Linked DNA regions of Saccharomyces cerevisiae S288C. Changing the gene in region 3 together with the main gene of any one other region gives a genetic interaction. Each region holds a gene or a part of one and is shown on either strand. Other genes may lie near its edges.

Evidence for each region.
Region 1: of POF1 (region 3) and PHM8, changing one suppresses a phenotype caused by changing the other (phenotypic suppression), as found in Saccharomyces cerevisiae (one study listed by BioGRID).
Region 2: of POF1 (region 3) and FPY1, changing one suppresses a phenotype caused by changing the other (phenotypic suppression), as found in Saccharomyces cerevisiae (one study listed by BioGRID).

What each region holds. Positions count from the first base shown.
Region 1 is NC_001137.3:224,024-227,354, reverse strand, and holds PHM8 (bifunctional nucleotidase/lysophosphatidic acid phosphatase), read right to left. Parts: upstream 1,467-3,331; coding exon 501-1,466; downstream 1-500. Other genes in the region: Smc5-Smc6 complex subunit KRE29, read left to right, coding at 1-497; ATP-binding cassette family ATPase ARB1, read left to right, coding at 2,156-3,331. UniProt on the Saccharomyces cerevisiae protein: May be involved in phosphate metabolism.
Region 2 is NC_001145.3:616,701-619,835, reverse strand, and holds FPY1 (flavin adenine dinucleotide pyrophosphatase), read right to left. Parts: upstream 1,358-3,135; coding exon 533-1,357; downstream 1-532. Other genes in the region: MMT1 (Mmt1p), read right to left, coding at 1,738-3,135.
Region 3 is NC_001135.5:42,994-46,067, reverse strand, and holds POF1 (nicotinamide-nucleotide adenylyltransferase), read left to right. Parts: upstream 1-1,630; coding exon 1,631-2,407; downstream 2,408-3,074. Other genes in the region: EMC1 (Emc1p), read left to right, coding at 1-1,445; SPS22 (Sps22p), read right to left, coding at 2,512-3,074.

The DNA.
Region 1 (3,331 bases), on a different chromosome or scaffold from region 3:
ATGATGATGTTAGAGAATTCTTTCTGAAAGCCTTCATATGTTTAATCTTGGATAGAAAGGTTTTTAACGCTATGGAATCGGACCATAGACTGTGTTTTAAGGTCCTGGAATTATTTAATGAGGCACATTTCATAAATTCATATTTCGAAATTGTGGACAAGAACGACTTTTTTTTACATTATAGGCTACTACAAATCTTCCCTCATTTACAAAGCGCCTTGCTCAGGAGACGCTTTAGTGAAAAGCAAGGTCGGACTGAAACTATACAGCAAAATATAATCAAAGAGTTTAACGAATTTTTTGATTGTAAAAACTATAAAAATCTACTATATTTTATTTTAACGATGTATGGCTCGAAATTTATTCCTTTTGGTCCCAAATGTCAAGTAACAGAATATTTCAAAGATTGTATTTTGGATATTTCTAATGAAACGACAAATGATGTTGAAATTTCTATCCTGAAGGGAATATTAAATTTGTTTTCTAAAATCAGGTAACAGTCATGATGACTGAACATTGATCTGTTGATTTGACCAGTTGACTGCTTCCCCTTCCTCTTCCAACTCTTCCATTTCCTTTATGGCAATAGAGGATGGACGGTAAACTTCAACGTCCATTATCAATGGAATCTCAAGGATATCTTTCAATATGGAAAATTGTTGCTTATTTTTGTGGTCCTTAGTAACAATATTTTCTGACTCATATTGGTAATCCTCTATCAAATGGATAACATGGCCCATCCCCATGCTCAACGCGCTCCGCACATTGCTTTCGTTGTCATCAATAAACCAGGCATTTGCAAAGCTCGACAACCCACTTTGCAATTTAGCTGTTTCGAAGAATTTTGGATCTGGCTTGCAAATGAATTCTTCCTCGATGGGTCTGTCGTAGTGGCAATAGGTTATGCCGTCAAATAGATCAGCAATACCTAATATTTTAACACATCTGATGGCATGATTTTTGTACGAGTTTGTAAACAGCCATAGTTTGTCAAATTTGCCGAGCTTCTTTTTCTTTAAATTGATCAGCAGCTCCCTTAACTTCCAATCAGGCTTTAAATAGTCTTGCAAAGGTAAGGAATCATCGATGAATGTATTATATTGTAGGACGTCATCAATTTGTTTATTCTTTATTAAACCTTTCACGGATAATCCATATTCTTGATAATACGATTCGATTAGGCGTTCTGCCTCATCGTCGTCAAACCCCAATTCGTATTTAAAGAAATTTGATAATGATTGTTGCATGAGCAATTGTACCTTCGTAGATTTTCTGTACAAAGTGTTATCGATATCAAAGAAAAATACTTTTCGAGCAGGATCCGGATCCGGTAATTTGGGAGGATCCACCTCGAAATTGATTTGTGAGCCTAGATGTGTCAAGCTTTGCAAATGCTCCTGATTTAGTCGTATCTGCTTTTTGATTTGGTTTCTATAAATTGTTCTGTAATCTTTAGCGATAGTCATGATTACGTGCGTATAAAACTTATGTGTTTTTTATCTACATTAAATCTTTTACCAACTATGCGTTAAACCGAGTTCGTATATACATATATATATATATATATATATAAACATATATTTCTATACATGTACGAATGTATTACATATGCTAAATGTATGTATATACATTATATGCACATCTCCTAATAATGAGCCATTTCAGTATTGCGGCAAATACGGAAAAACCCGCAGAAACGATCGTACAGATCCAAGAACTTGGTTTGTATGTGAAGCACGTTGCTGCCCCCTTTTTTTCTCAACCATCTCCGGCGGCGACCGCCGGCTTTTTTCTTTCTTTTTCTGGAAAAAGAAAAACCCCCTATATCACCTTTGACGTTTACTCACTAAATACGAAATGCATTACCCTAATCTCACTTTAAACGAATGAAAAAAGAAAGGTGAGGGGGGAGACCGATGGAAAAAAAAATAAAAATTTTTTTCTTTTTTTTTTTCTTCGTTCACCTCATCTCAATTAATGGCTTTTCCTTGACGTAGTTCAGGTAACTTGGTAGTGATTCTCTTATAAAAAAAAATATTATCATATTTAACATGTTAGTGCCCGTGTAGTTTTTCTTCTTCTTTCTTAACTTTTTTCTTGCAAAAATTGTTTTCTTCCCCTCAGTGCTACAAACAGTAACTTGACAGAACCAAATATGCCACCAGTATCTGCGTCAAAGGCCAAGAGAGATGCTAAGAAAGCTGAAAGAGAGGCTAAGAAAGCCGCTGCCGGTAAAACCATCAGAAAGCTAGGTAGAAAAAAGGAGGCTGCTGCTGAAGAATCGGAGGTAGATGCAGCCGCTAGAGAAATCAAGATGATGAAGTTGCAACAAGATAAGGATGGTCTTTCAGATCGTGTTGTCACTGGTGTTTTGAGTTCATTGGAGACTTCCCGTGATATCAAGCTATCTTCTGTTTCTTTACTGTTCCACGGTAAAGTTTTGATCCAAGATTCTGGTTTAGAATTAAACTACGGCCGTAGATATGGTCTTCTGGGAGAAAATGGTTGTGGTAAGTCAACATTCTTAAAGGCTCTTGCTACTAGAGAATATCCTATTCCTGAGCATATTGATATTTATTTATTGGACGAACCTGCGGAACCAAGTGAATTGTCGGCCTTGGACTACGTTGTCACTGAAGCTCAACACGAATTGAAAAGAATAGAAGACTTAGTCGAAAAGACTATCTTGGAAGATGGTCCTGAGTCCGAGTTATTAGAGCCTCTATATGAAAGAATGGACTCTTTGGATCCAGACACCTTTGAATCTAGAGCTGCTATCATTTTGATCGGTCTAGGTTTCAACAAGAAGACCATTTTGAAGAAAACCAAAGATATGTCTGGTGGATGGAAAATGCGTGTTGCGTTGGCAAAAGCTCTTTTCGTTAAGCCAACTCTATTATTGTTGGATGATCCTACTGCGCATCTGGATTTGGAAGCTTGTGTTTGGTTAGAAGAATATTTGAAGAGATTTGACAGAACTTTAGTTTTGGTGTCCCACTCTCAAGATTTCTTGAACGGTGTTTGTACCAATATGATTGACATGAGAGCTCAAAAACTAACTGCTTACGGTGGTAACTATGATTCTTATCACAAGACAAGATCCGAATTGGAAACCAATCAAATGAAACAATACAATAAACAACAAGAGGAAATCCAACATATTAAAAAATTCATTGCATCTGCTGGTACTTATGCTAACTTGGTGAAACAAGCTAAATCTAGACAAAAAATTTTGGACAAGATGGAAGCAGATGGTTTAGTCCAACCTGTCGTCCCTGACAAAGTTTTCTCATTTAGATTCCCACAAGTGGAAAGATTGCCACCACCAGTT
Region 2 (3,135 bases), on a different chromosome or scaffold from region 3:
GTGAATACCAATTCCAATCCAGGTTTCAGTTGCACCTGGTCAAATTGACTTCAGTTATGTGTGTTGACTAGGTTCAGCTTAAGCGTTGCTTATAAAAGAAGAGATGTAGTAAAGCAACAAACTCACCACGGCTCAGTGCAATTCCCAAGAACCGAACTCTCCATTCAATGGGTCTTTCTCTTCACACACACCTTTTTTCTAACGCGACGCGTTTTTTTTACCTTTTTTATATCACGAAAAAAAACGCGACCGTAAATGAAGGTTTTTCCTTTCATGGAGCAGTTGTATCTATTGAATGAATTATATACCTTTTGCTGGTTTGGTCCTTTCGGATATGCATTTTTCAAATGTTTACTTTAGCGATTGAAGCTCTAACAGTAGCAATGTGATCTTTAATTTTTCAAGGTACCTTTCTACCACGAGCAGTGTACTTTTTTGTTGAGAAGAAAGCGCAACTACCGGCGATGACTGAGATGACTTTGCTCCCAAAAAAAAAATCTATATCTATACATAGTTCTAAATACTCGGGTATTCAGCTCTCCTGGTTCGAGAACTTGTTTTCAAGTTCAGAAGAAATTACTTCTCCCTCGAGGTTATTAACAACTCTATTGACAATACTCTTCAGATATGAATCGTCTTTCTTTTCACCCAAAATACTAACTGTATTGAATCCCATACCAAAATGTGGGTATGAGCCTATTTTAATGGCTTCTGAAACTTTTGTTGATTCATCCTGAATCAACTTTAGCTCTTTAGAAATTTGAGACTCAGTTAGGTGTGTTCTGACAAAATAACGAACATACTCACGTGGATCCTTGTCCAAATTATATATTTTTTTCAACGTGGGAGTGAACGCTTTCAGCATCCTTGCAAATAGTTGAGGGATACCGGGTAGTATATACATTTTGTGAGATATAGAACAAATAGGTACCCACAAGTCATCACACACATAATAATTTTTGACGTTTGTGCCTTTTGGCATGGTTGCCATTTGGTAATGCGCCTTTAGAGCATCTGCATCAAGCCTTGCTTCAGGGTCAGATTTATGCCTCATTCGTTCTTTGCATTCTTCATCTAGTTCACAAGGCAAATTAAAGCTTTTCGCCATACATTCGTAAGTGATGTCGTCATGAGTGGGGCCGATTCCACCTGTACTGATGATAAAATCATAATTTTTGACTAATCTTCTCACAGTATCTACGATCTGGGTTTCATCATCCCCTATAGTTGCAATTTCTTTTAATTGAATTCCATGATCAAAGCAATACTTCGCAAAAAAAGTGGAATTTGTATCAACTACTTTTCCATTCAGCACTTCATCACCAATTATGATACAAGCTGCAGTTACTTTCACCATTATACCCTTGACAGTATATACTTTGCCTCCTTCAGTAATTCTTTTATGTCATTATTATCACCAGTAATGACTGCTATTGTTATATCCCTCGCTCTTTCCTTTTTAGTCTCTCGGGCAGCCATAGTCGTTTTCCACGTATATTTTTAATAGAGAAGATCCTAAAACATTCAGTTAGAGTATTATAGTTAATGATTTATTTTATAAATAGTAAATGCAATTTGTATATAAAACGTACATAAATCAAATAGTAGGTATACGTGACAAATATAAGCGTATTGTCTTTCCTTTTTTTTTTTGGCCTTTTTGTAATTGTGAAATGCGTTTCGGGTATTTTCGACATTTCCCTCTCTTCTTCACTTGTTATTATTACTGTGGGAAGCTCAAATATGAGTATTCGTATGGTCGTGCTTAATAAGAACATCTTCTTTGTAGTTTTGTTGTCCCTTGATATGCTCATTTTCCTCACCATTTTTTTCTTCCACGTATTCAATATCCAGTCTTCTCAAATTCGATACTTCATTGGTTAACACATTACGTAAATGATGTGTCACAATTTCAAACTCGTTAACACCTAAAATATTGCCCCATTTTTGTAAAGGAACTTCCAAGGTTAAATGTCCGCGTAAATTCGGTCCTGAGGACAGTAACGTCAGTTCTTTCAATCCATAGGGTTTCTGAGAATTATTATTAGAGATCAGTTTGTTCAACGTATCTTTAACCAAAGTTTCTATCTCTAGGTAGCGTGGATCATCACGAGAAACTGACTGATCGATTAACTCCTTTATTGCGATGCACATACCCTCGCCACCAGCCTTGATAATTAAACCAGAAACAATTAAACCACCAATCGTGTCTAATGATTGTATATTAACCAAATAACCAGTACTGATTGCAACCAGAGCAACAAGAGAAGTTAATGAATCAACACGGTGATGCCAAGCATTTGCCATTAGTACATTTGAATTAGTGTTGATAGCAATCTTTCTTGTGGCTCTAAATATCCATTCTTTAGCTGCAATGGAAGCGGCGGCAATCCAGGCTGCGTTGATATCAGTAACGTCTTCAATAATGTCTTCAGAATAAGTATGAGCATGACCTAAGTTTCCTATGGTGTCAATGATTGTATGTGGGATAACAGGCCCTACGAGTGCACAAAGGGAACTCCAACCTATTGATATACCAGCCATGGCTAATATTGTTGAAACTGCCAAGGAACCAACAGTTTCAATTTTGCCATACCCATATGGATAATCAGCGGTTGGCTTGTTGGCTGCTAGCCCTACCGAAAGCAAAGTCAACAAGTCAGAAACCATGTCACTTATTGCGTGGATAGCATCCGCAAACAACGCTTGTGAATGAAATACGATACCTCCAAAAAATTTACCTATAGCAATACCAACGTTTACACCTAAGCCGACCCATGTGATTCTTACGCCTGCATTTTTCCTAATTTGCTCAGTACTAAGTACTAATAATGGATTGTGAGCAGCATGAGAATGCGTATGTCCATGAGAATGTGTATGCGAATGCAGATTCAACGACGAAGGCTTATCAGCTTGCTCACATTTACTGCTTTTGTAGTCTCGTATCGTGCCCAATGAAATTATGTCGTTTTGCTCGGTCTCTGATTCACGTAAATGAACATGATCATGACTGTTGAATGCTTCAGCTAATTTTTGGTATTGAGGATTTTTCTCCAATTCCTTTATTGCAGCCTTTTCAATTTCAGCTTGTCTCTTTAACTCGTTTATCTCAACGCGTACTTTATTAGGGTCCTT
Region 3 (3,074 bases):
AACTCCTAGCTCTAGACGCTAAGGATACCACGGTATCAGATTTGAAGTTCGGATTCGCCAAAATCTTAATTGTTTTGACGCATGATGGCTTTATCGGCGGCCTTGATATGGTCAATAAGGGCCAACTTATCTGGAAACTCGATTTAGAAATTGATCAGGGCGTCAAAATGTTCTGGACGGATAAAAACCATGACGAACTTGTTGTTTTTTCGCATGATGGGCATTATTTGACAATTGAAGTTACTAAAGATCAACCGATTATCAAATCAAGATCCCCCCTATCTGAAAGGAAAACTGTTGATTCCGTTATTAGGCTGAATGAACATGATCACCAGTATCTGATTAAGTTTGAGGATAAGGATCATTTACTGTTCAAATTGAATCCCGGCAAGAATACGGATGTACCAATAGTTGCCAACAACCATTCTAGTTCCCACATATTCGTCACAGAGCATGACACGAATGGCATTTATGGCTACATAATCGAAAACGATACGGTAAAACAAACTTGGAAAAAAGCCGTAAATTCGAAAGAGAAAATGGTGGCATATAGCAAGAGGGAAACAACAAACCTAAACACTCTTGGTATTACACTAGGTGACAAATCGGTTCTTTATAAATATTTGTACCCCAACCTAGCGGCTTATCTGATCGCTAATGAAGAACATCATACAATCACTTTTAACTTAATTGATACCATTACAGGAGAAATCCTCATTACCCAAGAGCACAAGGATTCTCCGGATTTTAGGTTTCCAATGGATATTGTTTTCGGTGAATATTGGGTCGTTTATTCCTATTTCAGTTCTGAACCTGTTCCAGAACAAAAGTTAGTAGTGGTGGAATTATATGAGTCACTAACCCCAGATGAGCGTTTGTCTAACTCAAGCGACAATTTTTCTTATGATCCATTGACTGGACACATTAACAAACCTCAATTTCAAACTAAACAATTCATTTTTCCCGAGATTATCAAAACAATGTCCATTTCCAAGACAACGGATGATATTACCACAAAGGCAATCGTTATGGAATTAGAAAATGGACAAATCACCTACATACCAAAGCTTTTATTGAATGCAAGAGGTAAACCAGCAGAAGAAATGGCCAAGGATAAGAAAAAAGAGTTTATGGCTACCCCATACACGCCAGTTATCCCAATTAATGATAATTTCATTATCACTCATTTCAGAAATCTATTGCCAGGATCCGATTCGCAGTTGATCTCCATCCCAACCAATCTGGAATCCACAAGCATTATATGTGATCTAGGCCTTGATGTATTTTGTACAAGGATCACACCTTCGGGCCAATTTGATTTAATGAGTCCTACTTTCGAAAAGGGTAAATTGCTTATTACTATATTCGTCTTGTTGGTGATCACGTATTTTATCCGTCCTTCTGTTTCAAACAAGAAGTTGAAATCCCAATGGCTAATTAAATAGATATTTACATACACATTATATATATCAGATACACATTTCAAGGCTCCTTATTTTGGCTTTCTTTTTTTTTTTTTTTTTTTTCCCTGGAAGACGTCATACTCGTGGTTATATAATCTCCTACTTCTTTGGAAAATGGACACTTAATCAATGACGGTTGATAGCAGTACGTGCACTAGCAGACTAATATGAAGAAGACGTTCGAGCAGTTTCGAAAAAGCAATTTACTATTTCAGGTTCTCAAAGGACCCCAGCATCTAGAATGTCAGAAGTTATTTGTCCTTGATTCTTCATTCAATCCACCACATCTGGCCCATTTTCAACTACTATCGCAGACTATTAAAAACTTCAAATTGAAGGACACCCGTTCGCATGTTTTATTACTGTTAGCGGTGAATAATGCAGATAAGTTGCCTAAGCCGGCATCTTTTCCAACTCGTCTGGAAATGATGTGCTTATTCGCTGACTACCTTCAGGAGAAGCTCCCCCAATCTGTAGTATCTGTCGGGTTGACTGTTTTCTCGAAATTCATCGACAAGGACAAAATATTACATGAGCAATTTGTTAAAGGATGCAGTGCAGATATAGGCTACTTAGTTGGTTTTGATACAATTGCTAGGATCTTTGATGAAAAATATTATCATCCTTTAAAAATCAGTGATGTAATGGAGAGCTTCATGTCGGGATCTCAATTATATTGCTTGGCGAGAGGCGATTGCCATCTCAGTGCTGAATCGCAACTAAGATACGCCAGTGACATCCTTGAGGGAAAATTCGAACCGGTAATACCAAGAGAATGGGGCGCTAGGATTCATGTTATGCAAAATGATTATCCAGCATTAAGAAATGTTTCATCATCCGAGATTAGGAACAAACTGAAGAATGGGCAAGTGGAGAGTTTGAAAGACGAGTTGCCATTGTGCATATACGATTATTTGATCAATAATAAGACAATATTTGATTGAAAGAGAAAGATAGAAATTCAAATGCCTTTCATGGAGATATATGTATATAGATAAAGATAATATTAGGAACAAAAAAAACTTTCTGTTATACTAGACTAGTAATCTTAAAACAATAACATAGCAACAAGGCATGTACCAAAAAGAAGGGGGTCCAATTGCATGCTTGGATTTGCTGAGTTCGCGTATTTTGAAATCACTCTTTTCTTGGAGTCTTCACCTTCTTGCGTTAAATCTTTGTACCCTTTTTCTATGATTGTACCATCCTGTTTAACATTCAGCGTATTTTCCTTCTTACCAGAAATACAAGTGAATTTCCCACCCCTGATGATTGATCTTCCATTTGATGGGTTTGTCCATTTATTGCAATCCAACACGTTTGATGAACTCTTAATAAAAGCGCTACCTTTCACCAGTTTCAAGCTATCGAACATGATATCTTTGAACGAACCTTCAAAGAAAATAGCACCTCCAATCTGCTTCAAGTTTGGCAGGAAAGTAATATCCTCGAGGGATTCGTTATCGGCGATCATCAAGCCACCTTGAATGTCTGTTAAGTTCTCCAAATTAACTTTTATTAAATTTACATTGTTGATAATTCCTAATGTTCCACCAATCTTCTGCAAATTGTTCAGGTTCAATTCGTAAAAGTAATTTTCGATGAACTCTA